Linked DNA regions of Struthio camelus. The protein of the gene in region 4 interacts with the protein of the main gene of each other region in a pairwise test. Links are inferred from orthologs where the notes say so. Each region holds a gene or a part of one and is shown on either strand. Other genes may lie near its edges. The genes, in order: NIF3L1, NDRG4, DUSP12 and RABAC1.

What was found.
Region 1: the proteins of RABAC1 (region 4) and NIF3L1 interact in binary tests that used the Homo sapiens proteins (3 or more experiments, as listed by UniProt). The two-hybrid records come from large-scale screens. The link is inferred for Struthio camelus from reciprocal best matches to the Homo sapiens genes RABAC1 and NIF3L1.
Region 2: the proteins of RABAC1 (region 4) and NDRG4 interact in binary tests that used the Homo sapiens proteins (3 or more experiments, as listed by UniProt). The two-hybrid records come from large-scale screens. The link is inferred for Struthio camelus from reciprocal best matches to the Homo sapiens genes RABAC1 and NDRG4.
Region 3: the proteins of RABAC1 (region 4) and DUSP12 interact in binary tests that used the Homo sapiens proteins (3 or more experiments, as listed by UniProt). The two-hybrid records come from large-scale screens. The link is inferred for Struthio camelus from reciprocal best matches to the Homo sapiens genes RABAC1 and DUSP12.

The regions. Positions count from the first base shown.
Region 1 is NC_090947.1:10,509,890-10,517,889, reverse strand, and holds the start of NIF3L1 (NIF3-like protein 1), read left to right. Parts: upstream 1-4,989; coding exon 4,990-5,416; intron 5,417-6,054; coding exon 6,055-6,220; intron 6,221-6,647; coding exon 6,648-6,774; intron 6,775-7,148; coding exon 7,149-7,287; intron 7,288-8,000. Other genes in the region: PPIL3 (peptidyl-prolyl cis-trans isomerase-like 3), read right to left, coding at 146-213, 801-894, 2,458-2,532, 3,906-3,908. UniProt on the Homo sapiens protein: May function as a transcriptional corepressor through its interaction with COPS2, negatively regulating the expression of genes involved in neuronal differentiation.
Region 2 is NC_090951.1:30,455,023-30,462,359, reverse strand, and holds the start of NDRG4 (protein NDRG4), read right to left. Parts: upstream 3,003-7,337; 5' UTR 2,937-3,002; coding exon 2,900-2,936; intron 1-2,899. UniProt on the Homo sapiens protein: Contributes to the maintenance of intracerebral BDNF levels within the normal range, which is necessary for the preservation of spatial learning and the resistance to neuronal cell death caused by ischemic stress.
Region 3 is NC_090942.1:92,202,875-92,210,202, reverse strand, and holds the start of DUSP12 (dual specificity protein phosphatase 12), read right to left. Parts: upstream 3,002-7,328; 5' UTR 2,965-3,001; coding exon 2,678-2,964; intron 2,580-2,677; coding exon 2,466-2,579; intron 2,369-2,465; coding exon 2,250-2,368; intron 740-2,249; coding exon 643-739; intron 1-642. UniProt on the Homo sapiens protein: Dual specificity phosphatase; can dephosphorylate both phosphotyrosine and phosphoserine or phosphothreonine residues. Can dephosphorylate glucokinase (in vitro).
Region 4 is NC_090980.1:287,041-294,467, reverse strand, and holds the start of RABAC1 (prenylated Rab acceptor protein 1), read right to left. Parts: upstream 3,007-7,427; 5' UTR 2,947-3,006; intron 2,172-2,946; 5' UTR 2,152-2,171; coding exon 2,075-2,151; intron 872-2,074; coding exon 674-871; intron 1-673. UniProt on the Homo sapiens protein: General Rab protein regulator required for vesicle formation from the Golgi complex. May control vesicle docking and fusion by mediating the action of Rab GTPases to the SNARE complexes.

The DNA.
Region 1 (8,000 bases), on a different chromosome or scaffold from region 4:
TAACATCGCTTCGCTGTGCGCTTACGCTTTATTTCACAATTACAAAACGGGTATTTAATCTAGCGCAACACAACATTGATCATTCTCCAGCCTGTAACGAAAATGTATGTGAAAACATAGCTGCATATTGACAGCACAGAAATACCTTCAGATATTCACTGAATTCATCTTCAAACTTCCTGCCCCAGATGCTGTTACCTCCTTTCCCAGTGCCTGATAAAGAAGTACTACAATAGATTATTGGATTCTCAGACTGAAAAAATTCAGAAATGATGCATCATTCGAACACATTACAACAAACACACTAGAAACACTATAAACTGCTTGAGGCAGGGCTCAGGTTCTCATGTCTCGATACTGAGCAGAGCACCAACTCAATAATATAAACAATGACTATTAAGTAGCAGAACAAAAAACAGATATCCTCAAATTCAATTCAATACGAGTGCAAATAGACACACAGGCGAATCTGACTTTCTCCTAAATAGTTGACACTGTCTATTCCATTTCCCAAAACGCTAGAGAGAATTTTTAGAGGCAGCGTAGCCTTTTAGGCAGAAACCAGAATAACAACTACTGCCTGTGCAAGCGCTGGTGAGTCAGCAGAACCATCCTATTCAGTGAAGACGGCTGGAAAAATTAAAGTCTGTACAACGCTTTACCACTGCTTGATTGTCTGGAGGTAGGGCAATGGCTGCTCTTCTGTAAACTCAGCAAAGAAAACTAGCTACATCATTAAACCTTCTATCAACAATACAGTAATTCTTATGTTGCATCCCATCTCCGACAGAAGGATTTACCTAATGGATCCCCTGTCTGAACCATGAAGCCCTTTATATTCCGGTGAAATACGCAGCCATTGTAGTAGTTACTAGCACAAAGCGCCAGGAAATTCTAAGGAAATGAAACACAGCACGTTAGCAAACAAGTCAGAAATAATATCCTCTGTAGCCAAAACCACAGCACCGACAAGACTAGCTCTTCTGACTCTGCTTTGCACTGTGAGCATGTCACGGCATTAGTCAACTGCCACAGACTATTGGTGGCTATTAAAAGATACAAATAACCCTCAGGTCTTTCCCTTCCCTTTTCAGGGCTTGCCACAGTTACAAAACAGTACCGAATCCAGTAAGTATGGTCTATACGTTACATTAAAATCAACAAAGCAACACAGATGCTGCCTACGTAGAGCATCACAGAGAAAATGCATCTGATGGGGGCTTCATAAATATTCTCCTTCAGCTCAGTGCAGGAACATGTATCTTTTTTAAAGGACCTCATACCTCAGATAGCTGAGGAACCACTATTTGCATACGGACAAGAATTGTTCACCGTTTCGCAAGGAAAAAGTCCTTCAAGATACACTATTTCACTGAAATGTAAATGTGGGCTGCCCAGAACGTAAGATGAAAGTGTTGCAGCTGAAACCAGGAAGATCCTAAGATTTTAAAATTTAAAAATTTTCAACTAGAACAGTACTTATTCCTGGCTTAAGCAAACATTAAAACTACAGAATTACAAAATAAAGCAAAAAGTTCATTTAAAAGCTACTTTGAGGTCATAACCCTTAAAACTACCATTAAAACATCATGTGTGGCATTTACAACCAAAACAGACATGGCTGTAAATAACACCATGAGAAAAGTCTTTTACAATATGCAGTTTCAAGACATCGCAGTTTGTGTTTAGAGCTCCTGTTTTCTTGGTTTCCCACAGACTCAAGTTTCCTACTGTCCTGGCTAAGGACAGGTTAAAGAATCAGTACTCTGAGAATCCTCTCTTCGCACACGATAGTCATTCTCAAATCATGGTTAAGACACAGTTCCTTTGACACAGTCACAGATGCAAAGGATTTTAAACAAAGCTTACAGCACAAGGTCCTCTGAGTTAAGGAACAAACACAGGGATTCTTGAGACATGCTCAGAGGCATCCCTTGCATTCAATATTTTTATTTTTTTTTTAAACTGTACCGTAACTTTGCAATCCATAGCCAAGCCTGAGCACAGTTAGTTAAAAATTACTTTCAATTTAAGCTTAAGTTTATTGCACAAAGGAAAACTGGGGTCTCTGACAAACTGTGAGCGCTTCTCACTTCTTTTTAAAAAGTAAAGTTTTATATGAGTATGGGCAAACCCAGGGAAGTTTGGGAATCCCAGGCAAAGTCCCACGTTTCCCCTTAAGGGCAAAGGACACTTTGGGAGATGCTATAACTCGGAGAGAAGTGGCCCTTAGCTAAACCTCAGCTGGAAAGAAACAGACAGCAAAGCTCTAGACAGTACAACACAGTACACAACAAGTTCCACAAGCTGAACCAGGCACTGCACCAGCTTAGAATGTCAATATTCCATTATATAAAACAATGAATTGGAACACTCATTTCACCTTCTCTATGATCTTCACTACTTCTACTGCTTTCTTTCAATACTACACAATCCCGCTCCTGTTACGTGACTTACTTCGCAAGTTTTCGGTGTTCGCTCACAGAATAATTCTATTTTAATATCTCCTACGTCAGTGTGCAGCGTGACAGCCTGAACAAGAGGCAGAAAATAATAATTAAACCACCAATGAAATACAAACAGCTGTACACTCTCTTTTATTTCCCGGTCCTACCAAGAGTGCAAGCAACTTCCCACTGCATATAATCATTGTTTCAATACCTGGTCCTAAGCAAGGCTACCGTCACAGACCATCTACGTTTCCAGTGAAACCATCAGAGAGCACTGGATTCAGTAGTTTCAGGACAAATCACGTTCTCCACGGTAATGGAGCTCAGATGCATGCTGCTACTCTCCAAAGATATGTTATTTATCTGCATAAAGTCACAGGTAAACTGAACCTACTCAGTCACACGTTTGCACAAGTTGAAGAACTGAGTTTATTTCTGTTTCGTGAGATGAAAGCGTGCTGCACGTACCTCACTGGTTTACAGCCAGAGGAACAAGTGCTGTGCATCACTAGACTGCAGCCTTTTGAGTGATATCAGGATAGTTCTGAATGGCACCGTAAATAATCTGCCCTCACAAACGAGTATGTCCGCAAAATTATGCACTTCTCTTCAGAGTTTATAAATAGCCTTATTAAATTTTAAGAGGCCAGTGACCCAGCCATCAATGCAGATGTCTTTCTATGGGCCCCAAAACCTCACAGTACTCCCAAAGAAAGTGCTAAACTATGCAAAGATGATTTACTGTGGGGATATACTGGGGATATATGCACAAAAAGACTAATAAGAATCAGCATCGTGTTGATGCCGGCATACTGTTACATACATACATACATATATATATATATATATACACACACACATACACACACACACACGTGTGGGTGTTTTTATATTCATATGTTAAATAATATCACATATCATATGCATAGCAAGTAATATATAACACAGATAATGCAAATACATTTAAAAACTTGGTATACAAGTAAAGAAGAAAAGATAGTTGCTTGCAATGTCCATGAAGATACTATAAAAGTTGTACAACCAGTTTAAGATATAGTCTTATCTTTATTTCTCGACAGATACATTTTCAAAAGCCTACAATTGTAGAAGCTTACGTATATTCAAGCAGAGCTTTGTGCTTGCAACTTGAACAGTGCTTCTGTAGTAGAAGAAATCAAACTAGATGACCAAATATTAGTCAAATTAGGATTAAATCGTAATGTCTTAGAAGTCTAATTGTATATTTAGATTGACGGAACAATAACACTGACATATTCTCCTTTTCACAGTATTTTGTGTAAAGTCTGAAATGGAAAGCAGAGCTTTTCATCACAAATTCTTCACAACGTCAAAGTAAAACGCATAATCACTTGGCACGCAGAGCAGCTATGCACTTTTCAAAGTATCACGATTTAAGAAAATCAGAAAGAATATAAAAAGTGATACTGATCTCACCATGTCTGCTCATCAAAAAGCTGAGGTAATTTGTATATAGCAAGTTCCTGCAAAGAAAACATATGCAATTTGTTGGGTTTTTTCCCACCAGTCCCCAGTTCTTTCTGATTCTAAAATATTTGTGTGGTTACTGAAATGATCAGCTTTTCCACAGTACACTTTTACAGGGTCACTCAAGTCACGCTGTGTGGCTCAACATTTTACTTACATTATGTAACTAACCAGCACATAAAGAACTAGAAAAGAGTAGAAAAAAACAGTTCAGAGAAAGAGCAGGGACAAAAAATAGCCTTTCGTAAGAGCTGATACTAAACAATCACAACTTTTTCAGGGATTAGGCTTATATGCATCACAAAGGTTAACAGATTAAAAAAAAACCAAACGCATGCCAGTACCTGCACAGAAGTTTAATCTGGAGCCACCTTCTGGTGGCTGTCAGCGCCTGCGACGAACAGGTACCTGCATCCAAGCACAGGAGCAAACATTTTTTAAGCTATTCACATTTTTAAATAAGACGTTTCGAATTGTGACGATAAAGTCACCGCGAGGGAGCCCAGCGGCCGCTAGCGTGGCCGAGCCAGGGCTCACTTTCGCCTGGCCACATGGGGGCCTCGTACAAACCTAGCGCTGCCCAGGGCCGCTTTCTCCAAAACCCCGAGCCCACGCCGCCGCCCTCGCCGCCGCCGGGGAGAGACCGCCCCGCTCAGCGCAGGCGCGGCGACCGCGCGGGACGGGGGCGTTAACGGTCGGGGGGTGTGGGGGGGCGTTAACGGTCGCGGCCCGCCCGGAGATGGCGGTAGCGCGGCGGCCGCTGCTCCCCGCTGCCTTGGTGCCGTCGCCCAGCGCGAGAGGCAGGCGCTCCTCGCGGCGGTGGCCGCGGCTCGTTTTTCGCGCGTGGAAACCGATGAGGCTGTAACACTTTCGGTACCGTTTCGCAGTACTCTGCTAGGTAGTTTCCGAGGTTTCGCCGGAAGGGCCCTCCGCAGCGGCGGTCAGCCCGCATGCTCAGAGGCTGCTGTTTCAGCTGAGGAATTACCCAGTCTTCTTCCCTTTGCCTTTTCCCCGCCCCTCCGCAGGTCGCCGCATGCTGCCGCCTTGCAGGCGGCTCCTTTGCCGTGGCATCAGGCCCCTGGGCCGCTGGCCTTCCCGCTCCGCCATGAATCTCGGGGAGCTCGTGTCCGCCCTCAACGACTTCGCTTCCCTCTCTCTAGCCGAAAGCTGGGACAACGTGGGGCTGCTGGTGGAACCGAGCCCTCCCCACGCTGTCAACACCCTTTTCCTAACTAACGACCTCACGGAGGGGGTGATGGAGGAGGCAGTGCAGAAGAAGGCAGATCTCATCCTTTCTTACCACCCTCCCATATTCACGCCACTCAAGCGAGTAACGTGGAAGACCTGGAAGGAGCGGCTGGTGGTCCGCGCTCTGGAGCACAGAATCGGGATTTACTCCCCGCACACCGCGTACGACGCCATACCTCATGGAGTCAATAACTGGCTAACAAAGGGACTTGGTGAGGTTAAATATTTTTCCAGTACTTCTAAGTACGCTAAGCTTATTTTAGAGAATTTATCTTGGTGAGATGTACCAGGTACAAATACCTGTGGACATTTTCAGATGCATGCTTGCGCTACTGGATGTAGTTAGAGCTGGTGCAGCATGTTTATTGCATACCTTGATTGAAGAGTTTAAACTGCTGACTTTAAATCACTGACACTGATTTATAAAGTGCAAAGTCTAGTAGTTCCCACAGCACTTTAGATAGCTGAAATCCTTTAGATTTTTATTCTGTGTTGTAGCTCATAAATGAAAACAGCTATGTTTTTTCCAGCCTGATTTCCAAACCAGAAACTTAAAATTTTATGTGCATTTTTTAGGGGAGAACTTGAATGGCTTCAAGAAGGTACAAATAATATATATCCATCAAGGTATCTGCACTTAGAATAGACTGTGCCCAATGAAGACAACAGGGCAAGAGGCCCTAGTTCTGGTCATGGAAAATGGATTCAGATGCAAAATTTGCTCAAAGTTGCATCCCTTTTGGATAAGTCACTAAGCATTTTCCATTTGTCACTTCTCCCTCTGTTAAATCAGCATAAGGATACTAATCCAACTTTACAGCGAAGCAAACCTTGTGTGCTGTTTTCTCAGGAGCCTGTACGTCCGTCCCACTGCATCCATCGGCTGCTCCAAGCTATCCAGCGGAGGGCACCCACCGGGTAGAATTCTGCGTAGACAACGGTGAGCATCTAGAGACACTGCTGTCCAAAATCAAAGGCATCCCAGAGATCTCCTCTGTCACTACTCTCCCCGCCAGGTATCTGCTTCACTCTCTAATGTTGTCTTCTTTCTGTTGCTTGAAAGAATACATTGCCAGAACTGTATTTTACCATTGTAGTCATTTTCTTCCTCTGTGTCTTGCTGCTATTCTTTCAGAAAAGATCTAGAAGTTCACAGGATAATTATTCTTTTCTGATCAGTCCATGTGAGGTTATACTAAATGGTAACTAGCAACTCAGTGTAGCATCACATGGACTAGAGATGGTAAGGAAGAGTTGTAACAGGAAATTCAATGAGGACAGTTGAGTTAAATTTCCATATTTGTTTTTTCCATAAGAGTAGGCTAGACTATTACCTTGTCTCCTTTTTCCCTTTCTCTGTGATAGAATGGCTTTATATTCTGTTAACACGATGCTGAAATTTTATCTGTTTTCCTAGCAAGCCCAAAATATATCTTTCCTCAGGGTTGAAGGTGAAGAACAAACACGAGTCAGTTTAAACTGCTCTCAGAAAGCACTGCTGGAGGTGGTGGCATTATTGTCCAAGAACAGCCTTCTTTATCACAAGACTGAGATTTTGTTATTAGAAAAGGTAAAAAAAAAAATGCAGTGAATGTGTTACTTGCGTGAGCTGACTGCCGTAAAGACTGAAATCTAATAGTCATCACAGTTTTCCCATGCTACCTGTCAGTGCTCTGAAATACTGGCCTGTGGGGATTTGAAACCACACACATTTTTCAAAACAGTGAAAATATCTGCGTGACCTGTACTAATTCTTAAAACGATTCCAATAGCTAGCGAAGTTACTTCTTTACATTCTAGAACATCATGTATATGTTTCTTTTGCAAAGTTCAGATGACTTCATTCTTAATACCCAATATGCTCACCTTTCTATAGTTATGAAAAGCAACGTGAGCTTCTGGAGTCAGCTTTCTCAGAGTAATTTTAATTTCTCTTCTCTTCAGCCTCTTCTTCCACATACTGGAATGGGACGTCTGTGCACATTGAGTGAGCCAGTCTCCTTGTTAGCCATAATCGAGCGTATTAAAAGGCACCTAAAATTAACCCACATCCGCCTAGCTGTGGGAATGGGGAAGACACTAGGTAAATAAGCTTGCAAGTTTGACTGGACATTAAAACTAGTGTTCCAGGAATATGAAGAGAGTGAATGCGTGTGTGGGTGTGTGAAATACTGCTGCTTTGAACAGGTTTGCTTCCCAGTAGTATGAAGCACGATTAAAGAGACAGCTTTTTAGAATTTATGTGATACCGTCACACACAAAAATGTTATCTGTACTTCTGGCTACAAGTTCTGCATTATGCTGGTTGTCACTGCGGAGGAAGGGCAGCACAAGCTGAACGTGAGACATCTTTTTTCATAATTTGCCTAATATGACTAAGACTTTTTTCCCCAAGATTTCAGACACAAATGCCTATCACTTTACTCCCTTTTGTGACTGAATGTTAAGATGCAAAGCACCTTAAAATAATAAGATGCTTTATAGTATTCTTACAAACCTGTAGCTATCCATGTTTCATTGAAAGAGGAATAGGAGAAGAGAAGTTAGCTACCCTAGGTCAAACAGTGGGTCAGCAGTAAAACCTGGAGCAGAGGTCCTCTTACTGCAGTTATCTATCCTAATCTCCAAGGAACACAGCTATTAGAATCTGTGAGAGCAAATTTGTTCACACCTTTTTATAAAAATGTCCTCAGGAGAGAGAAATCTTCTTAGAAGCCTCTGATACTACCAATTACATTAAAACAAAAACCTTTATTCTGAAGCTGCTCAGTGTTCTATGGGATTGCAGTAGAGTGA
Region 2 (7,337 bases), on a different chromosome or scaffold from region 4:
AAGACTTAAAATGGAGACTGGGGGAGAAGTAAATAGCACTGGGCCCTCCCATCGGCCCCCAATGCAAAAGATAGGGTCTGTGGCTAAGGTGGCAGCTGCTGCCACCCCATTAGTGGCCCTGGGCAATGCTGGTGGGTTCAGAGAGCTTGTAACGGAGCCTGGAGAGGAAAGGGCAACCCAGACACACTGCGAGTGGGAGGGAGGCAGTGAGATCCCGCAGACAGGGCACAGCCAGCCTGGGTGCTGGTTGGGGACCCCTCTCTTGGGTGCCTGGAGCGGGTGGTGGGTGCCCTGGCAGGCCTGAGCCCACTTCTCGAAATGCAGCAGGGGGAGCATGGAAGCACTCCGAAGGGGGAGCCTCATGCACGCGTAGCACTGTGAGATGCAGCATCTGCCACCAAGAGGTTTGGGACATTGAGAGGTCCTGGCTGTGTGGCTTGGGCATCTCTGCAGCCTGGCACCGTGACACACCAGGTGCACCCTAATGCAACCATGGGGCACGAGCGATCCTGTCCCATGCCGAGGCAACATAGCTGGGAAAGCATCCTTTCCCCCCACAGCTTGACCTCTGAGAGCAGGCAGCACCCACTGTCTGGGTATGCTCTCACCCCCCACAGACTCGCATCTGCCCCTGCTCTGCCTTCCCAACGCTGTGCCACCATTTCCTGGGCAGAGTAGGAACCACCTCCTCCAAAATCCCAAATCAATCCCAAATAGAGCACGGCACCAGCCACCTTCCATGCTAAGAGGACGTCAAAGCAAGAAACTCTCTGCACCCTCGTAGGCCATTGCAAGCAACAATTTAAGCCTGCAGCTGCATCCCAGGCTCTCACAGTATGTTAGCTTGAGCCCTTGCAAACATCCAGCCCTGTGCCTGCATCCTGCAAGGATAGGCTCTAACTGGGTGCCAGAAAAGGAAGAAAAACTTCCTTCCAAAGGGGAAAGGAAACGGCTCCCAGCGGGAGGGGGAGAAGGGCCGAGCAGAGACATAGGAGCTGCACGCAGGACCCCACTGTGCCCAGCGACACACAGACCCCCAGACAGGGCCACTGCAGCTGTCCCTGCGGGCTGTGCTGTGGCATCAGCCCACCGGTGCTCTGCCCTGACATGGTCCTGGCATCGCACACGCAGATGTGAGTGGAAATGGCCACGCTGGCTCCCCCTCCCCAGGGAGCTGCAGCCGAGCGGTGCCTACTGGAGTAGAAGCGGCTTACGGCAGGGAAATGCATTACTGTTATTAACATTATTATTAATAACAGCACACACAGCCAGCTGCGAAAGCACGTGTGGGGAAGTCAGCTGTGGCACTTCAGGGCGCCCAGCTCTGCTGGCCTCAACTCCCACGGCTGCCTCTCACTTACCAGGGCTGCGACTATCAGCAACAGCCCCGTGCAAGCGGCACAGGGAGGAAAGGACCTCGGCGAGCATCGGTGAGAGCTCAGGGCATTTTACAACTGCGATGAGATGCCAGGGAGCCCAAGGGTTGCGCTGGCAGAGACGTGAGACCCCACTAGGCTGGGAGATGAGGCCATGTCGATGCAGGGGGGGAAGCCAAAGGCGATGCTGGGCCTGGCGCTTTCGGGGCTCTGTGTGAAGATGCCGGCTGTCTCGGCAGTGGCTGTTGCTACGAGCAACCTCCTCCCCAGCCCTGCTCCTCAGGGCACCAGGAAGGAAACAACACAGCAGCTAGACACCCCAGGGAGGCTCGCGAACAGCAGCAGATGCTGCCTGGCCCCACGCGGGCCGGAGGCTGCACCGAAGGGATGCTCAGCGGCCCCATGCACACCCAGCACCCTCCCCCAACATGCCATGCTGGCTGCCCAGCAGAAAGACCCCAGCCCGCGGGACCCCCGGCACCAGGAGGCTGGTGACACAGTCCCAGCCTGGTCCCTGCCATTGGCAGCCACCAAGCCGGGCTTCCCCAGCTGCAGCCCTCCTCCTCGCCAGCCTTCCCCCAAAACATCCTCCCTCCAAACAGCCTTCTCATGGTGGGGAGAGGCAGGTGGGGGTCCCTGCAGTCCCAGCTCGCTGGCAGGGATCAAAGGACTCTTTGCACCCCGGGCATCGCGACCCCCCCCATCTTGCTTACGCCAGAGTTAATCTCTCCCCAGCCCACGAGGCTCCTCCTCAGCTTGGGGGCAAAGCCCAGCACCCCGCAGCCCTGGGCACCCAGCTCCTGGAGCACCTGACCACCGTGTCGTGCCGTCCGCCGGAGCAGGCCACTGCATGTCCATCTGGCACAGCGGGTGCGCACGGCCCCCGAGACAGCGCTCCAGAGCCCCCCAGGACAGCGAGGGGGAGGAGGAGACGGTGTAAGTTACCTGCGTCACTCAGGGCACATCTGCGGCCTCCCGGAGGGACGGCCGCTGGCCCCCGTGACCCCCGTGGCCCCCGACATCATGCAGGCCCCCGAGGCGAGCGGCGGCAGGGGGACCCGCTCACAGCAGGTGCTGTTCAGGGATGGAAAAGCTGCCAGCCGTGATTCAGGGAGGGGACCGCAGCAGACACCCCATGCACGGCCCAGCTCTGGAGGGGAGGAGAGAGGGGAAAAGTGGCGGCAGCAAAGCGGAGCCACAGGGCTACCCCAAGAACGGCACGAACCGAAGCAAGAGCGTGACCCCCAACACAGCTCAAAGTGAAGCCATAGCACAGCCCCAAAGCCTGCAAAGTCCAGCAAGAGCTCAGCCCCCCCAAACTGCAAAGTGAAGCAATAGCGTGACACCCCCCCCCCCCCCCCCCCATAGCACAGAGCGAAGCAGCCGCTCACCCCCGAGCCTGCGGAGCCGCAGCGGAGCCGCGGCCGCGCCCCGAGGTCCTGCCGGGCTTAAACCCCCGCTGCGGCCGAGCGGCAGGTGGAAGCGGGGCGCAACGCCCGGGCCAAACCGGGGCCGCGCCGTACCTGTCAGCAGCTCTATCTTGTGCCGCAGCACCTTCATGCCGGGGCGGCGGGTCCCGAGGCCGCCGGCGGGCGGGGGGGCGCGGCGGGCCCCGGCGCGGGAGAGCGAGCGGAGCCGGAGCCGGAGCCGGAGCCGGAGCCGGAGCGAGGCGCGCGGGGCGGCGCAGGGGCGAGGCTGGGCACGGTCCCCGCGCCGGGCCGGTTCCTCCCCTCACCGGGCCCGGAGGGAGGGGACGGCGCCGGGAACGGGGCCGGGCCGGGGGGCTCCGGGGGGACAACGGTCCGCGCCGCGCCACGCCCGCCTGGGCCGGGGGGAGCGATTTACCGGAGGATGCCGTGCTGCCGGGGGGAGCACATCGCCCCGCGAGGCACCGGGGGGCTGTGCAACCGGCGGCCCCAGGAGCAAGGGGTCTGGGGCCCCTGAGAGCAAGGATAGCGATGGCCAAGGTGCCTGGAGGTCCCTGGGAGCATAGGACAGTGTTGGTCAATGCACCTGGGGGGGGAGGGGACAAGGGGAACTTGTGCAGCTGGCGCCCCTGGAGCAGGGCCCTGATGCCCAAGGGGCCGAGGGGGGGTCTCATGGAGGGGGACAGTGATGCCTGAGAGGTCTAGGGGGAGACAGGAGTGGAATCTGTGGCTGGGACAGCAGTGGCCCCATACACATGGATGCTGGAAGTCAAGGCGGTGGCAGCTCTTTGGGGTGGAGCAAGAGGTTGCGAGGTAGCTATTTGGGTCAGGCAAAGCCAGGGGCTTGGAACAGTGCCGTGGGCCTGGAGAGCATTGGAAAGGGCCCACAGTGGCAAAGATGCAGGACTCCCTCCTTCTGCACAGGGCACGAAGGCCGTTGCTGCTCCACTCTGCTTGTGCTGGCTGGGCTGTGATCCTGCCCCATTGGGGCCACAAGCTCTGTGGGGCAGCTGGTACATGGAGGTTCACCCACCACCCTTTCCAAGGTGCTCAGCTTTCTAGAAGAGCCAGGGGCTCCCACAATGGCAGGGTATAAAGCAGAGCTGTGTCCTGAATCAGGAGAGCGGGTCCAGCAAAGATGGATGCCCCAACCTGCCCAGAGTGCTCATCCCTGTCATCCTCAGCCGTGAGGAATTGAGCTGGACCAAGCCAGCCAAGCCAAACCTGCCTATTTTCCCTCCTATGTAGCTATTTGGTGAGATTTTAATGTGCTTTTCCACAATTAAGAACATAAGAGCCCCAGGTTACTTGAGCTAACTGTACAGGACATCTCATTCAAAACCCCAAATTGGCCCTCTCTAAAACACTCCCCCCCCCGCAATCACTGAGGATCCTTAAACCTCCCCTCAGTGGTCTCAGTTCCCTATCAAACCCAGCCCCACGCTGGGCTCACATGGGAGGACTCAGGGGTCCTGCTGCAGATTGTTCCATGGGCTTCGGACCATGGACTGACCTGGTGTCCAGGGTAGCACTCGCTCCTATCCCCTATTATACATTTTCCCCAGGAATTTCCAGGTAAAACATTTCATGTCTCCATTACAAATAAGGTGTGCATGAGCCAGGGAATGACCTTGATTTATCCTGGATTTGAGTGCTATTTACTTGTCAGCACAGGAAAGTCAAAGTTTCCTGTAGGATGAGTGAGGTTCAGGTTCTCGTGCACCAGAAGAGGTCCATGTGAGATGTTGCAGGAGGATCATGATTTTGGTGCTGGGACCTTGGAGAGAACCTCTGCCCCAGAGGTCCTGGGGGACTGGCAGGCAGCAGGACCAGGCTGATGCTGGAGAGGGATTTCTTGGTGGTCCCTGTTACTATCAACTAAGGGCCTCTGGAGCAGTGCTAGCATCTTCAGAGGGTCAATGCAGGGGATCATTTCTAGCTTTGTTAGCACCACCTTCAATTGGAGATCTCAGTTTGCCCTCAACCCTAAAGTCCCAGGATGCGGCAGATGCCCAAGGACTGCTTTGGCAACTATATCAAGTCCGGTGTCCTAGACATCAGCCTCATCTCCTCATGGCTGGCCACAGCAGCCAGTGCATCTATTTACTTCATGACACCTTTCAGTTATAGGCATGTCTCCTGGCTGCAGGCAGTGAACAGCTCATCCCACAAGCTCCTGCTAAGGGGCTGGGAAGATACACGCTGCTGATACGGGCACTAATTTCCATTCCTGGTACATCTGTTTTAACAGCTTGTCCTTGGCTTTTTGGACGGCAATCAGTTTTGAGCTGATTTCAGCCTCTCCCATTGAGTCACCCATAGCTCAGCATCCCGGGCTGCATTCACCTTCTCACCTATGAGGCAGAAAAAAACTGGGAGGGAACACAAGGACCATTTAACCCCTCAGCTAGGAGCCAGCCAAGTGCATTGCTCTTGTGGAGGTCAGATCTTCCCTACCTTCAGAGCTGTGTTTCACCCCGTCTCCAAGTCCAACAGCCAAGGGGTTCCTCTGAACCAGTCAGGGTCAGCTTTGGCTTGTCCTCACCCAGTGCAAATCTAAACGTACTCCTCCGATTGCCATGGCTTTGTACCAGAATAGATGGTTTTCATACTGAGGATTTATCCTGTCTGCATCAAGTCCAACATTATCCAATAACAGCTTTTAGATGGCTACCTTGTCAAAGGAGCCAACCATGTGGCCGAAATAATTGCACAATTAATTAGGCCTGGGAAGAGCACAAGCTCTCCACGCATTAAGCTGGAGACAGTGGAGCATAAACCCATGTGAGAGTTCAGAAACCACCTGCTGATGCAGAGCAGCTTGCACCCTGAACTGTGTGTTTAAAGGGAAGCGAGTTTTACAGCATGGATTTTTCCACATTGTTTCGCATTGTGCTTTTAATACAGGTCAACGTGGCATTTTCTACATGCATGGCTTTGCACTGTGCTTTTAGCTCAGCCATGCGACACTAAACTAATTGGACAAAGGTCTCGCTCCAGAGACAGCCTAAGGGAGGTCACAGTCCTGAATGAGGGCTCCCCAGACCTGGCAGGGGGTTAGAAGATGCCACTTGTAGACCTGTGACACTCGCCAACATTCACACCCTCATTGCCAGACACTGCCTTGGCACCCACGCTTCCCAGGGTGTTGGTGGTCTGGCAGGGCCCCAAGGAGCCCTTTGCCTGGAGCTGTTGCTGCCAGCCCAAATGCTGAAGTTGGGCTGCAGCTGTTTGAGCAGTATCCTGCAAGCTCCCTGCAGAGTCCAAGCAGCCCAGGGACACCTTGGACTTGCAGCAAGTGGGCTGCAGCGTGCCGGGCATCTGCCTTGGCCGCAGCGGGATGGGAAGCAGGGAGGTGGGAGAAGGTGCCAGATGCTACGAGGTGAGTCAAGCCTCAGTCATAAGACCGACCACGCTCCTTCTACTCATCAGCGTAGGAAAGGTGGCAAGAAACACGGTGTCACTTGCTAGATCCGAGCCTCTGCCCTGCCTCTCCAGGCTGGCAGGTTAGAGCGGAGGGTGCAGCCAGCAGGCAAAGGCAGGGCCATTAACTCTCTCATGCCTGGGTGAGCCTCCATCCTCCTCCCACAGTGAGCAGAGGGGGCCGAGCCAGATGGCATGCAGCAGGAGATGCTATTTTAAGCCCCCCAGTTGTGATCTGGACCCCTCTGCCCTGGCTGCCTGGTGTCTTTTCCAAGGACACACCCTGGCCGACATCATTTCGCAGCCCCCTCCTTCCCCAATGCATCGGTTTACTACACCACAGACAGAGCAGAGTAATTTTCCATGGCCCCGCCAATGCCAGCGAAGGCGCAGGGAGCATGGAAAGGGCTCTCTTCATTGCAAAAGCAGCAGCTCCCGTCTGTCCCATGGCCTGAGTGGCTCTGAGTCATGGCTCTGTAGCAGGCACTTGCTGCCGTGTCCAGAATGGTGCAGACAGCGCTGATCCGAGTGCACGGGCCTGGGTCAGACTTGGAGTGAGCTGCTCTGACCCTGATGTGGGGCTGACAGGGGCTACAGTTTTCCCCTGAAGCCCAGGGGTTTAGTGCAGGAGTGGGGGTGGGGGTTTGTACCATCTACCTGTATCCTTAGACTGCATATTACTGCAAGCCAAAAACATCCACGGGGCTGCCTAAGGATTTCACCGCACTCAGCACAGCCCGGGCTCTTGCAGGATTTGTCAGTAGGGAAACTGAGGCATGGAGCGCCTGGGCCCAGGAACGGGCTGCCAGGCTCAAAGCCGCCTTCGCAGATCTCCTTACAGCTGCTCTGCTTTCGGTTTGGCATAGCAGAGTTTGCAGCAGGCAGATTCTGCCAGAGCCACCGGAAATGAAGCAAAACCCCAGCAACTGCTCAAATATCTCCTGGCACTGCTGCTCCCAGAAGGGCCCAGCTTCTTCCCCAAGAGTCACCATGCTCAAATAAACCTGATTTGAGAGCAATGGGCTGCCTTTCTAGCTGAGATCCTTAGCACCTGAGCTGCCTAAGCCCCTATCAATGGGTGCCTGGAGCAGAGAGGCATGGGGGCCCTTCT
Region 3 (7,328 bases), on a different chromosome or scaffold from region 4:
ACACAGCCTACTTTTTTTTTAAACTTAGTCTAAAAGGTCAACAGGCACTGACTCCATTTAGGGCTGCTTCTTAACAAACAAATCCAGTCATTCATGTAGCTTTGGGCTCTGTCCCACAGCGGTATGTTGTTTCTTTTACAGATCTATTTTTAGACAAGTCCCACCTATTAAAACTTGAAATCTAAGCTCATATATGTGAAAAAAATCTACACTTAGGGAACAACAGGATTTTTCAACGTCATTTTACATAATTCATAAAAGACAGTTAAAATGTAGTACTGAACATCTACAACAAGTTTCCTTGAGAGAAGCCCATTTTCAAAACGAAACTAGAAGTTATGGTTTAAGAGCAAGCGACTTCACAGCACCAGGCAGAATTATGCCTGATTATAGAATCTAGCAATTGAGGCTCCACAAGTACTGCACAACTTCAAGGAACAGAAGGCTTTGCGTTTCATAAAACACTTTTGTTTGTCTGATTTCTGTGTCACACACTGTACGGAAACTTACACAAGATCTTATCCCTGTCTTGAAAATAATGACATATCCATTGAGTCACATGTACTATTATTTTTCTCTCAAGACTTTACTCAAAATGACTTTTAATGGGGAATATAAAAGGTTTGGGGAATATAAAAGTACCTGCATTTTCTGCATCTGTAGAGAACCTCCATGTTTGGAGTTTGACACATACTGGTTGGATCAACAGCAAAAACTTCTCGGGGCAAGTCTTGAAGTTCTGCAGAGGGGACAGTATGAAGCTGTGAATCAAACCAATTAACCCATGATCCACTTCAGTGAAACAAGACAGGGCTGTGCTTTTGCCCTAGTCAGACTATGTAAAGACTACCTTCTTTCCGTTTCATTTGTTCATTTACCAATGCCATTAGTTGAATTCTAAAAAAGAGAGTCTCATCTCACTATATCTAAGATCAGGATTCACTTAATGTAAGGAACTGGAATCGAGAATTTGGCCTTGACAATGGTAAAAGAGTTGAATTTTCCTCTATGTTCTTATTTAAACACGGAGCAAAGACATGGGAGGTAGTCAGAACAGTTCTTCCAATCTTTTAGCGCATACAAGAAATAAAACCAACTCTTATGAATGGAACCTGCTAAGAATAAGAGAGAGAGTTCTATTATACTCGGTACATAACAGTGCAAGAGAGACATTCCACTGAGATTAACTTTACGGAAAGTTTTTATAACAGAACTACACATACACACTCATATATATATATCCACTGAAGTCAATCTGTTGCATATCAGACTACGAAAGTTCACTTCATACCTTGATTTCAACTTTATGTTATTTTAGCTCTGCTTTTATCTTTTTATTTGATTTCCTTGACTTCTTTTTAGAGGACTTTCAGTTTGCCTGAAAGGCACATAAAAATCGAGAAATACATAAAGTTGACTTTCGCTGTTTCTGCATTTTGATGCAGAGAACAGTTCATTACAGATCTTATTTCTCAGACATGTCTCAATGACTTTTTTCCCCCGATGACTAGCTAGGATTCTTTAGAGTCAACATGGCATGAATGTTAATCTAGCCAACTCAAGGCTCAGCTACTTTGAGAGAAGTACTCAGTCAACAAACCATCATTGAGCTCTGTAAAGAGGCATTCCTCTGCCATGCGCTTCTGTGCTCATTTAAGGACACAGAATTTAAGGGCACGTGCTGGGAACTCCAGCTATGGGAAAATATTCACCAGTTTGCAACCTGTTCGAAAGGACAGCAAGTAGGTTCAGAAACAAATCTTTTTTTTTTTTTTTTTTAAATCAGTGAAACACGGCCCATCATCGTGATCACACGCAGCCCTCATGCAGCACACTGGACACCGGAGGTCTTCCTGAGGTACAACCAGTTAAAAATATCCACGTTCTGCAGCAGAACGAGGAGCAGTACACGGGTTAGTAGCGACAACCCCTGAACACAGCACACGGTTCCCAAGATAATCTGAACTGACTGCACATCAGGAAGATGCCAGCAGGTGCCGGATGCTGCCTATCAGTGCACAGAGCCGTGTGACCCACAGCCCATCAGACCGACCAAAGCCCCTCCGTGCGTGATCCACCTGGCACCACCCATCCCTGGGAGACCCCCAGAAGTCTGTATCCAGTTTCAGGTGTTCACCGAAGCCTAACTTCAGTGACGAGACGCGGCTCGCTGGCGGGCTGCTCCCCAAACCCAGCTCGGCTCAGCCTCGGCTGCTCCCTGGGCACGGGCGGGAGGCGGAGGTACTCACCGGGGTACCTCTCCGTGACCATCTGCAGGCGGTACCGCTTGTAAAGGGCGCTGCTCACGTCCACGGCACAGCCCATGGCCTCGTAGAGCTTCAGCTGCCACTCGAAGCCCGGGTTCACCCTGCGGCCAGGGGAGAGCAGAGGGCAGGTGAGGGCCGGGCAGGGGGCAGAGGCCCCGCGGCCGCTCCCCGCCCCGCGGACGGGGCCCGGGCACCCACTCGACGTCGGGCTTGGCGGCCTTGACGGCGGCGTACGCCTCCTCCCAGCGCAGCCCCTCGCTCTTCATGAGGTAGGCGGTCACCACGGCGGCGCTGCGGCTCACCCCGGCCTGGCTGTAAGGCAAAGCGGGGCTGTGGGCGGCGGCCGCGCCGGAGCGAACCGGACCGGACCGGACCGGAGCGGGCGGCCACCCCCACCCGCCGCCTCTCACCAGCGCACGAGGGCGGCGCCGCCGGCGGCCCGGGCGGCGCCGATGAAGGCGGCGCAGTCGTCGAGGCGGCTCAGCAGGTCGGCGCCGGGCTCGTCCCGCGCCCGCACGTGCAGGGCCCGCACCCCCGGCGGCAGCGCCGCCTCCTCCGCGCCCACCGTCAGCACCGCCACCACCCCCGCCGCCGACAGCGCCTCCGGCGACGAGCACGACTCGGCGCCGCCCACGTACAGCCCCGGCAGCACGGGCACCATCCCGCCGCCCAGCCCCTCGCCCGCTGCCGCCGCCATGATGGCGGGACCGCGGCGACGGAGGAGGACGCCGCCGCTCCCAACATGGCGGCGGGGGCCGGTGCCGCCGCCCCCAACATGGCGGCGGGGCGGGGCCGCGGAGCGGGTGCCGCCGCTCTCAACATGGCGGCGGAGCGGGTGCCGCCGCTCTCAACATGGCGGCGGAGCGGGTGCCGCCGCTCTCAACATGGCGGCGGAGCGGGTGCCGCCGCTCTCAACATGGCGGCGGAGCGGGTGCCGCCGCTCTCAACATGGCGGCGGAGCGGGTGCCGCCGCTCTCAACATGGCGGTGCTGGGAGGCAGCGGGGCGGGTGTCGCCGGCAGGGGCCAGGCGGGAGCCGCGGCGGGGCGAGAGGCCGCGGGCGGCGCTCGGCGCCGTGGCGGGAGGCGAGGGGGCCGCGGGGTGAACGCAGCGAGCTGAGCAAGGGGTCCTTCTTCAGGAAATTAAAAACAAAACAGAACTTTTTTCTTCCCTCTTGCCATCATTTTCATAATAATTTACATGATAAAATTCACAGGTGTGTAAGTGCTGGAGCAGCGCCCTGTGCCCTGTGTTGCTTTGGCTTGTGGAAAAACCTTGGCGTTTCTTTTTGTTCTCTTCAGTGAATGCTCGGCGCGAGGGACATACGTAGAGGCCAGCAAAGGTTCCCCACAGATAGTGTTTTACCCCTTCTGTCCAAGGAGATTTTTGCTTGGAAGGGGATGGGGAAACAGTAAACTTTTTTACATGCGTTTAGCAAGACAAATAAAGAGGCTAGAGAGAGAGAAGCAGTCAACTGGCCGCATAGGCTGGTGCCGGCGACTTCTCCAATGGCATAATGAGACTCACAAATGTTTCTAGCTCTCCTAGTCAGAAAGATCATGAAAGTCTGATGCGTTGCGATCTTTCACATACTCAGAAAACAAATGAAGAAATACTCTTAATAAATCTCCCAATTTGTTATTCTTAAAATCCCTTACTTTTAAATCAGTCGTGTATTTTTGAGGTCCAGGTATAGTGTGTATTGTGTATTTTGCGCTGGCAGTCTTTCGCTTTGGAGATGAGCTACCTATAAAAGTGAGAAAATCCTCCTGGAGAGACTAATGCGTGTTTTTCTAGCAACCGGTCCAGTAACTCCCTGAGGTGGAGGCACTGGGCTGCCCTTGCGGGAAGGCAGGCCTGGAGTCTGCCCGAGGGCGGCCTCCGCTGTGGATCGGAGTATGCCAGGGGACAGGAGGTGAGCGCGGTCACTGCAGGAAAGCACCGCATGTCCAAACCTTTTATTAAGGTTTCTGCCCAAAGCGTGGTAACGAATGGAGGCTGAGAGGAGCTTTCGTCTGGAAAGCCTGGAGAACCAACGCCCGTTTCCAGATTGCCGTTTGTGAATTGCTGGCCTAGAGATTAATACAAAACAGTAGGGCTTTCAGGATCCATCGTTTACTGTGTGGATACCTGACTGGTCTGTAGGAGAGCTCTTTATCTGAGCTAAGTTTTTCTGCAGGAAATCAACCACCCAGAAAATCTGCTGGGAAATGAAATCAGCTCGCTTCTAAGGTCTGTTACATGACCACATCCACATAGGTGGAGGGAAAGCTAACATGCAGAATAAAGCTAACAGCAGTTAGCTTTAACTCCTTCTAGATTGAGGCCTCCCATTCTTTAATGTCATAGACTTTACATTCCGATGAACGTTTTGGTCATTCGCGTTAGGGACTGGCTATGCTTCTGGCTGTACTCTGAAACGGAATCCAGCCCCAGTAATTCCTTACTGGCCTTGTCTGCAGCATCCAGATAAGCTCTTGCTGCTGGAAGTCAAATGTATGGCCCAGCTTGAAAACTGTCACGCTCTTCTGTTTTGTACTAGCTCCCATGCAACAGGTAGATGCTGAGTTGCAAAACAGGAATTGTAACTAACTCCAGATTTCTGTGCTAATCTCTTACTGTTAACCAGGCTATGATTTGCATTCGGTACTGAAATCAGATACAGTACAGATAGAGGCAACCTGTCTTCTGGTAACCTTTGATTCTGAGGCGTGTGACACCATTGAAGATTATAGGGTAATGCAGAAATCGTGGTGCAGCCGCTTCCACTGCCCACCATAAAGTTCAGACCTGTCCTGTGGTGGAGACAGAGTGTGTACTCTTTCTCCTGTAGACAAGGATATTCCCCTCTAGCTCTTAGCAGGATGTATGTGCAAAACATTACTGTGCAACACACCCACTGCCTTAACATCTCCTTCTTGTCTCAAAAGACCCAACCCAACACTTTCTCATCAAGGTTCTTTTGGTCTAGTATGATCTCTATCATGTTGTTGCAAGTTTTACCCGGCATAGTCAGAAGGGCCCATATACTGCCTTGCAAGTTTCTGAGCACAGGTAAAACGTCAGATGTCATTTGAAAGAGGTGTGTTGTCCGCAAGGTGGGACAACAAGTAACCTTACCCTGCCTTCCCTGCATGAGATAAGGAGGCCTGAAAGCCCTGGTTATCTACCTCTGGGAGGATTGTTCTAGCAGAGGTCTGCGTGACACAGCTATAGGCAGAACTGTTGTAAAAACAGTCTGAAAGGGCCTCCTTGTGGGAGGCCAGCTGGCCATGGAGGAGGTGAGACTTGCTGTCACCACTGACCTGATAGGGGGAGACTAAAACCTGGTGGGAAGGGAGACTGTTACCCCTTCCAGCAGGAGAGGTGAAAGGGGCTAGAGCACCTGGGCGCAGCCACCACTCCACAGAAGGGACAAGCCAAGCAGAGAGCCTGCAGTGGGTGCTACCTATCTGCTCTTCCAGGACTCCTTCACCAGTGCCAGCAGGGAGCATGCATCCATTGCAAGCCTTGTGCTGGGAGCTAGGCAGCGGTTACCCATGGAGCAGACCGGGAAGGATCTTTAGTTTAGATAGGCCGCGAGGCTTCTGAGTATGTGAGTCCAAAACAGCTTGAAGTTTGCTGTCGCCCTGCTTCATCTCGTGTGCTTCACTGCACTAGCGCTTGTGTGATTGTATGGTGGCCCTGTTAGGGAGCTGATCTAGCTGACAGCAAATCCCTTTTTTTGGCTGGATTAGTTTTCAGCTGGGTCAGCTCCCTGAACTGCCTCACTGCCTCATGTCATGAACCTGACAGAAGGAAAGGGTGTGACTGTGTGTCTGGGAACAGGGTTAGGGGAGTCTCTGACAGCTTTAATTTCCATTGTCTTAAGCTACATAACTGCGTCATCTGTGCAAATCCTCCTTTTCCAGTTACCGTTGCCACCACCTAGAAATAAAGGACCTAACTAACAGGCCTTGAAGGATTCAAACCACTTAGTTTGTCAAAAAGAAGAATGAACAGTGCTTTGTTTACTATATGTAAGTATCTTCACAGAGAGAAAATATCAAGCAATAAAAGCCCCTACAATCTAGCAGGGATACAGGGATAAAATAAAAGCACGCTGAAAAGAAAAATAGGTGGAAATTAAAACCAGCTCAAATTGTGTATTGACCTGTAATTGTAATAATTGCAGTAACCTGTCTTGGGGAAACAATGGTTTATTCATCTCATGAGGGATTTGAATCAAGTCTGCAGACAAATACAAATTATTGAAGGAATCATGAGTTACATGGAGAGCGTATATTATACAGGGAGAATATGAGTACTAAGAGATGGTTAATCATTCTCTGTGAGCTTTAAAATCCGTGAATTTATTGGGGAGGGAAACAGCACCGTCTGTAAATGAAAACAGTGACAGGGAGAAGCAAACGCCAGGGCTCAAAGATGCTGAAGAGATTGCTGGCTGCTTCTTGACGGGGTTGATGCAGTTGTAGTGAGACCACTATGCTCCTCCTGTGCATCGGCTCCCAGAGACTTGGATGATGACAGAATGTGAAAAAGCTGCTATTTCAAAGTGAAAATATGTGGTGGGGAAAGTACAAAATCCGTGGGGCAGAGCCCGTGGGCAGCTCGCCATATAAGTGCTTCACATGACTGAGGCTGTACTCCCTAAGCAACTTCGCTGTTTTTCTGTACTCCCCTTTACTGTGTTTGCCACCTGCAGCTTGAGCATATGGTTACGAATCCTGAGTTTGCTCACAAGTCCCAAAATAGAATATATGTTTTCTCAGTTTGATTTGCAAACCCTAGTTCTCCCCAACCTCCACCTTCCCCCTTCAGCCTTTGTCTTCTCCTGCGTCGCTGAAATTTCTAACGGTTTGTTCTCCCCTGGGTTCCAGGAAACTGTGTGACTAATTAAGTGGTTCGGGCAAGCTCAGGTGCAAGGGAAAACAAGTCAGATGACAGACGGCTGCCCCCTCGCTCCACTAAGTGCATTCCATCTCAGCATGCTTCGCAAGGGAGGGCTGGGGCAGCAGAAATCTCTACAGCTCTAGTTTGTAATGGAAAAGAAAATGCTGGT
Region 4 (7,427 bases):
CATATCCTGTCCCCCCTGCCCCACAACTGCCCCCAATACCCTCAGCACTGACCCCTCATCCTGCCCCAAAGCAGCCCCACAGTCCCTTGTTCCGAACCCCCCAATCCTGCCCCATAGCAGCCTCCAGCCTTAACTCCCCATCCTGCCCCACAGCAGCCCCACAATCCCACCCCATGACCCTATATCCTGCCCCACAGCAGCCCCACAATCCCACCCCCATGAACCCCCCCATCCTGCCCCACAATCCCACCCCATGACCCCCCCCATCCTGCCCCACAATCCCACCCCATGACCCCCGCTGTCCTGCCCCACAATCCCACCCATGACCCCTGCTGTCCTGCCCCACAATCCCATCCCATGACCCCTGCTGTCCTGCCCCACAATCCCACCCCATGACCCCCCCATCCTGCCCCACAATCCCACCCATGACCCCTGCTGTCCTGCCCCACAATCCCACCCATGACCCCTGCTGTCCTGCCCCACAATCCCACCCCATGACCCCCTGTCCTGCCCCACAGTCTCACCCCATGACCCCCGCTGTCCTGCCCCACAATCCCACCCCATGACCCCCCCATCCTGCCCCACAATCCCACCCATGACCCCCGCGTCCTGCCCCACAATCCCACCCCATGACCCCCCCGTCCTGCCCCACAGCAGCCCGCCCCGGGCTCACAGGCAGTAGAGGATGAGGCCGAGGAAGACGCAGAGGTAGTTGCTCTGGAAGCGCTCGCCGTTGTGGGCCAGGCGCTGGCAGAGCTCCCCGAAGGTGCGCGGGGCCCCGAAGCGCCGCTGGTCCAGGAAGGCGCCCCACGGCCGCAGCCCCGCGCGCCGCCCCTCCAGCCACCGCCGGGCCGCCGCCGGCAGCGCCAGCCTGCGGCCGGGACGCCGCGCTGCCCCACGGCCCCTGCCCCACGGGGGCACCCCCCCTGCCCCACGGCACCCTCCGCCCCACGGGGGCACCCCCCGCCCCACGGCATCCTCCGCCCCACGGGGCCACGGCCCACGGCACCCCCTGCCCCACAGCACCCTCCGCCCCACGGGGGCACAGCCCACGGCACCCCCTGCCCCACGGGGCCACGGCCCACGGCACCCCCTGCCCCATGGCACCCTCCGCCCCATGGGGGCACCCCCCGCCCCACGGCACCCTCCGCCCCACGGGGGCACCCCCCGACCCACGGCATCCTCCGCCCCACGGGGCCACGGCCCACGGCACCCCCTGCCCCACAGCACCCTCCGCCCCACGGGGGCACAGCCCACGGCACCCCCTGCCCCACGGGGCCACGGCCCACGGCACCCCCTGCCCCACGGCACCCTCCGCCCCACGGGGGCACAGCCCACGGCACCCCCTGCCCCATGGCACCCTCTGCCCCATGGCACCCCCTGCCCCACGGCACCCTCCGCCCCACGGGGGCACAGCCCACGACACCCCCTGCCCCAGAGGGCCACGGCCCACGGCACCCCCTGCCCCACGGCACCCTCCGCCCCACGGCACCCTCCACCCCACGGGCCACGGGCCACGGCACCCCCTGCCCCACGGCACCCTCCGCCCCATGGGGCCACGGCGCACCGTACCCCCTGCCCCACAGCACCCTCCACCCCACGGGCCACGGGCCACGGCACCCCCTGCCCCACGGCACCCTCCGCCCCATGGGGCCACGGCCCACGGCACCCCCTGCCCCATGGCACCCTCCACCCCATGGGGGCACAGCCCACGGCACCCCCTGCCCCACGGCACCCTCTGCCCCATGGCACCCCCTGCCCCACGGCACCCTCCGCCCCACGGGGGCACAGCCCACGGCACCCCCTGCCCCACGGGGCCACGGCCCACGGCACCCCCTGCCCCACGGCACCCTCCGCCCCACGGGGGCACAGCCCATGGCACCCCCTGCCCCACGGCACCCTCTGCCCCACGGCACCCCCTGCCCCACGGCACCCTCCGCCCCATGGGGCCACGGCCCACCGTACCCCCTGCCCCACGGCACCCACAGCCCCATGGCGGCCACAGCCCCACCGAGGCCCTGACCCATGGCACCCTGTGCCCCCCAGCACCGCCCCCCCCCACCCCAATGCTCACTTGGTGCCCAGCCCGGCCAGGGGGTCACCCTCCGTCGTGGGGTTGAAGAGATGCTCCTGGGGGGGGCTCCCCGCCATGGTGCTGGCGGGGGGGGGGGCTGGAAGAAATGGGGGGTTATGGGGGGGTGGCAGCCCCCCCATGTCGGGGGGTGGATGTCCCATTGCAGACATGAGGGGGCTAATTTGGGGCAGGGGCTTGGGGGGGGGCTCAGGCCTTGTCTCTATGGGGCTGCAGGGCTGTTTTGGGGGGGGGGCACTCAGGCCTTGTCTCTATGGGGCTGTTTGGGGGGGGCGCTCAGGCCTTGTCTCTATGGGGCTGCAGAGCTGTTTGGGGGGGGGGGGGCTCAGGCCTTGTCTCTATGGGGCTGCAGGGCTGTTTGGGGGGGGGGCTCAGGCCTTGACTCTATGGGGCTGTTGGGGGGGGGCGCTCAGGCCTTGTCTCTATGGGGTTGCAGGGCTGTTTGGGGGGGGGGGCTCAGGCCTTGACTCTATGGGGCTGTTTGGGGGGGGGCGCTCAGGCCTTGTCTCTATGGGGCTGCAGGGCTGTTTGGGGGGGGGGGCTCAGGCCTTGACTCTATGGGGCTGTTTGGGGGGGGGCGCTCAGGCCTTGTCTCTATGGGGCTGCAGGGCTGTTTGGGGGGGGGGGCTCAGGCCTTGACTCTATGGGGCTGTTTGGGGGGGGGGGCTCAGGCCTTGTCTCTATGGGGCTGCAGGGAGGTTTTGGCGGGGGGGTTGCGGGTTATGGGGCCTGCGGCCGGATCACTGGGGGGGCGGGAACCGGGACAGACCCCCCCCCCCCACCGGGGCTCCCCCGTTGCCATGGCGCCCCCCTCAGTGCTCGCCGTCGCCATGGCGACCCGCCCCCGCCCTCACCTGCTCGCGGCGCGGGGCGGAAGCGCGGTGCCGCGTGGCAGCGCGGGGGGGCGCCGCGGCGCGGGCGGACGTCGTGGGGGGGGGGGACGCAAGGGATGCCGGGAGAGCGGCGCCCCGCGCGGGGCACTCTGGGAGATGTAGTTTATTCCCCCTCCTCCCAGTTGCGGGGGGGGGCACGGTGCAAGGCGGGGGTGTTTGGGGGATGGGGGTGTTTTAGGGGAGGGAGGTGTGGCCTCCCCATCCCCCCGCGATCCAGGCAGTTGTGGAGGGTCCCCAGAGACCATGGGGGACCCCCCCAGGATAACTGGATGCCCCAGAGCCACCAGGATCCCTCCCAGGACCTCCCCATAGACACCCCCAGGATCATTGAGGACCCCGGGAACCCCCCCCCATGGATCCCACAGGACACTTGGGGACCCCAGGGACACCTCAAGGTTACCCCCCCATACCATGAGGGACCCCAAGGAGTCTCCAGAGCCACCAAGACCCCTTGGGACCCTCCCCCAGAGGCCCCTCGAGCACCACTGGGGACCTCAGGGACCCTCTAGGGCCACCCCAGGGTTCCTGCAGGTCCCTTGAGGACTCAAGGACACCCCAGAATCATCGGGGACCCCCCCAGGAACTCCCAGGGCCATTGGGGACCCATCAGGGACACCCCAGAGACCCCTGGGACCACTGAGGACCTCGTGGACCTCCAGGTGCCTGCCAGGATCACTGAGGACCCCAGGACCTCCCCTGAGGCACCAGGGACCCTCTAACCCCCATGGAGACCCCCCCCCGGGGCTACTGAGGACCTCAAGGACACCCTAGACCCACCAGGGACCCCCCCCAGGGACTCTCCAGGACCATGGAGGACCCCAGGGACTGCTCAAAGCCACCCTCAGGACCACAAGTGACCCCTGGGACACCCCAGAGGCATGGGGGACACCCCAGAGAAACCCCAGGACCATAGGAGACCTCAAGGATACCCTCAAGAGACATTGGGGATCCCCTCAAGAGATCTTTCCACAGGATCTTTGGGTCCCCAGGAGCACCCCAGAGCCACTGAGGACCTCCAGCGACAAGTCTGTCCTCCCACGGTGCCTGTTTGTCCATCTGTCCTCCCCCAGCACCTGATGGACTGTCTGTCCATCCGTGGGACCCTGGGCACAGCCCGGCCCCACCTTCTGCCCAGCTATCCCTGGTTGTCTGTCCATGCATGTCCATCCTCCCCTCCCTCCATCCACCCCTCTATCCGCTCGTCCATCCATCCGGCTGCCCCTCCACCCCTCCCTCTACCCCTCCATCCCTCCGTCTCTCCATCCACTCCTGCATCCATCCATCCCTCTGTCTCTCCATCCATCCACCCTTCCCTCTTCCTCCTTCAACCCCTCCATCCCTCCTTCCATCTCTCCATCCATCCCTCCACCTCTCCATCTCTCCACCCGCCTACACCTCTCTCTCTCCTGTCTCTCCACTCATCCTTCCCTCCATCCCTCCAAGACTCCCTCCCTCTCTCCAGACCCCCCATCCCTTCTGAGCCCCCCAGGTCTCTCCTCCCTCATCCAGCCCCCCCAGTCTTGCCACCCAGTTCCTCCCCCCCAAATTCCCCCCGGCTGCCCCCCACTCTGAGTCCCTCAGCCCTCTTGGTCCTGCCCCCCCAGCTCTGCCCCCCTGCTCTGCCCTGATGGCCCCCAGGTCCCCCTGCTCCTGCCCCCCCAAGTCACCCCACTTCTGCCCCCCAACTCTGCCCTGGTGCCCCTTGGGTCCCCCTGCTCCTGCCCCCCAGCTCTGCCTTGAGACCCCCCCATGTCCCCCCACTCCTGTCCCCCAGCTCTGCCCCAGTGCCCCTTGGGTCCCCCTGCTCCTGCCCCCCAGCTCTGCCTTGAGACCCCCCTATCCCCCGCTCCTGCCCCCCATGTCCCCCCACTTCTGCCCCCCAGCTCTGCCCCGATGCCCCCTGCTCCTGTCCCTCGGATCCCTCCGCTCTGCCTCGAGACCCCCCCCATATCCCCCTGCTCCTGCTCCCCCCAAGTCACCCCCCTCCTGCCCCCCAGCTCTGCCTTGAGACCCCCCCATGTCCCCCCACTCCTGCCCCCCAGCTCTGCCCCAGTGCCCCTTGGGTCTCCCTGCTCCTGCCCCCCAGCTCTGCCTTGAGACCCCCCTATCCCCCGCTCCTGCCCCCCATGTCCCCCCACTTCTGCCCCCCAGCTCTGCCCCGATGCCCCCTGCTCCTGTCCCTCGGATCCCTCCGCTCTTCCTCGAGACCCCCCCCATATCCCCCTGCTCCTGCTCCCCCCAAGTCACCCCCTCCTGCCCCCCCAGCTCTGCCCTGGTGCCCCCCAGATCCCCCCGCTCCTGCCCCCTAGCTCTGCCCCGGTGCCCCCCCCCGTCCATCCTCCCCCCCGGCGGCAGCGGGCGGAAACGGCCCCTGAGTGGCGGCGGCGGCGGCGGCGGGGAGGGGGGCGCGGGGGCGGCGGGGGGGGCGCGGGGGCGGCGGCGACAGCCCCTCTCCATCTTCCCATTAGCGCTAATGGGCAGGTCCCGCTCCCCGCCGCCCCCCCGTTAATCACCGCCGCCTGATGAAGATTTATCGGCTGCCGCCCGCAGCGCCGGGGCTGCGCCGGGCTATGGGGCGGGGGGGACAATGGGGGGCACTGGGGGCCATGGGGCAGGGGAGGCGCGGGGAGGGGGTCTGTGGGGGGCATTAGGGTCTATGGGGCATGGGAAGCATGAGGCAGGGGGCTATGAGACACATTGGGGGCTATGGGGTGGGGAGGCGTGGGGGGCATTGGGGGCTGTGGGGGGCATTAAGGGCTATGGGGCATGGGAAGCATGAGGCAGGGGGGCTGTGGGGGGCATTGGGAGCTATGGGGTGGGGAGGCATGGGGGAATTACGGGCTATGGGGGGCATTAGGAGCTATGGGGCAGGGCAGGCATGCAGCAGGGTTATGGGGGTGGAGGGGTGGAGGTTATGGGGTAGAGACAGCTATGGGGGGCAGAGGGGGACATGAGGGGAAGGGGCTATGGGCCTAGGGGAGCATGGGGCAGAGAGGGCTGGGGGGCAGGGAGGGCTATGGGGCAGAGGGGTTGAAAGCTATGGGGCGGGGGGGCATAGGGCAGGGGAGGATTTCAGGGCAATGGGGCAGAGAGGGCCATGGGGCAGAGTGGATGGGAGCTGTGGGGCATGGGGGACAGAGACAAGGCTGGGGGCTACGGGGCAGGGGGGGCATTGGGGGCAGAGGAGGGATATGGGGCCTATAGAGCAGAAGGGGATGGGGGGCTATAGGGCAGAGAGCAGGCTGCATTGGGGCAGACAGGGGGGCAGAGTGGGGGTGCTCGGGGTTTGGGAACATTTGGGGGTATTTGTGACCGGGGGTGGGGGGGTTGCAGTGACCTCACTTATGGGGCGTGCCCCCCTCCCCGGCGTCGGAGGGAGAACCTAGGCGTCCGGGGGGGGGGGGGGGGCCTGCTTCGCCCCACAGGCCCCACCGCCCGCGTGGGCCCAGGCGTCCGGCCGCCCCGCTGCAGTGCGCCCCGCTCCCACACGAGGGCAGCTCTGTCCCGAGCAGGGCCCGGCTCCGAGCTCGGGGCCACCCGCGGCCGTCAGTAGGGACACGGGGCAACGGGGCAGCCCCAGCCCGCCCGCCCGAAACCAACCTCAACCCAGAGCCAGGAGCACCCCAAGGCCCCCCCCCCCATAACCAGCCCTGACCCTGAGCCAGATGCACCTCTAAAGCCCCCCAAGAGCACCCTAAGGACCCCTAGGAGCACCCCAAGCCCCCCCATACCCAGCTCTGAGCCAGAAGCACCCCAAAGCCCCCTCAGCATCACCTCAAGGCCCCCCAGGAGCACCTCAAAGCCCCCCAGGAGCACCCCAGGGACCCCCAGGAGCATTCCAAGCATCCCCCCATACCTATCTCTGAGCCAGAAGCACCTCAAAGCCCCCCAGGAGCACCCCAGGGACCCTCAGGAGCATCCCAAGCATCCTCCCATACCTATCTCTGAGCCAGAAGCACCTCAAAGCCCCCCAGGAGCACCCTAAAGACCCCCAGGAGCACCCCAAGCACCCCCCCCATACCCAGCTCTGAGCCAGAAGCACCCCAAAGCCCCCCCAGCATTACCCCAAAGCCCCCCAGGAGCACCCCAGGGACCCTCAGGAGCACCCCAAGCACACCCCCATACCCAGCTCTGAGCCAGAAGCACCCCGAAGCCCCCCCAGAATCACCTCAAGGCTCCCCAAAGAGCATCCCAAAGCCCCCCAGGAGCACCCTAAAGCCCCCCCCAGCATCCCAGGACCCCCAGGAGCACTCCAAGGCCCCCCCTGCCCCGGCCCCGAGCCAGGCGCCCCCCGGGCCGCGGTGTCCCCCCCCGCCCTCCCCGAGGGTGTCCCCAGCCCCCCCGCGGCCCCCCCTGATTGATTCCTGTTTACGGCGCGGCGCGCACCGGGGTGGCTCCGCGGGGACGCGCCATCCATCACCCCGCGCCGCCATGCAAATTCC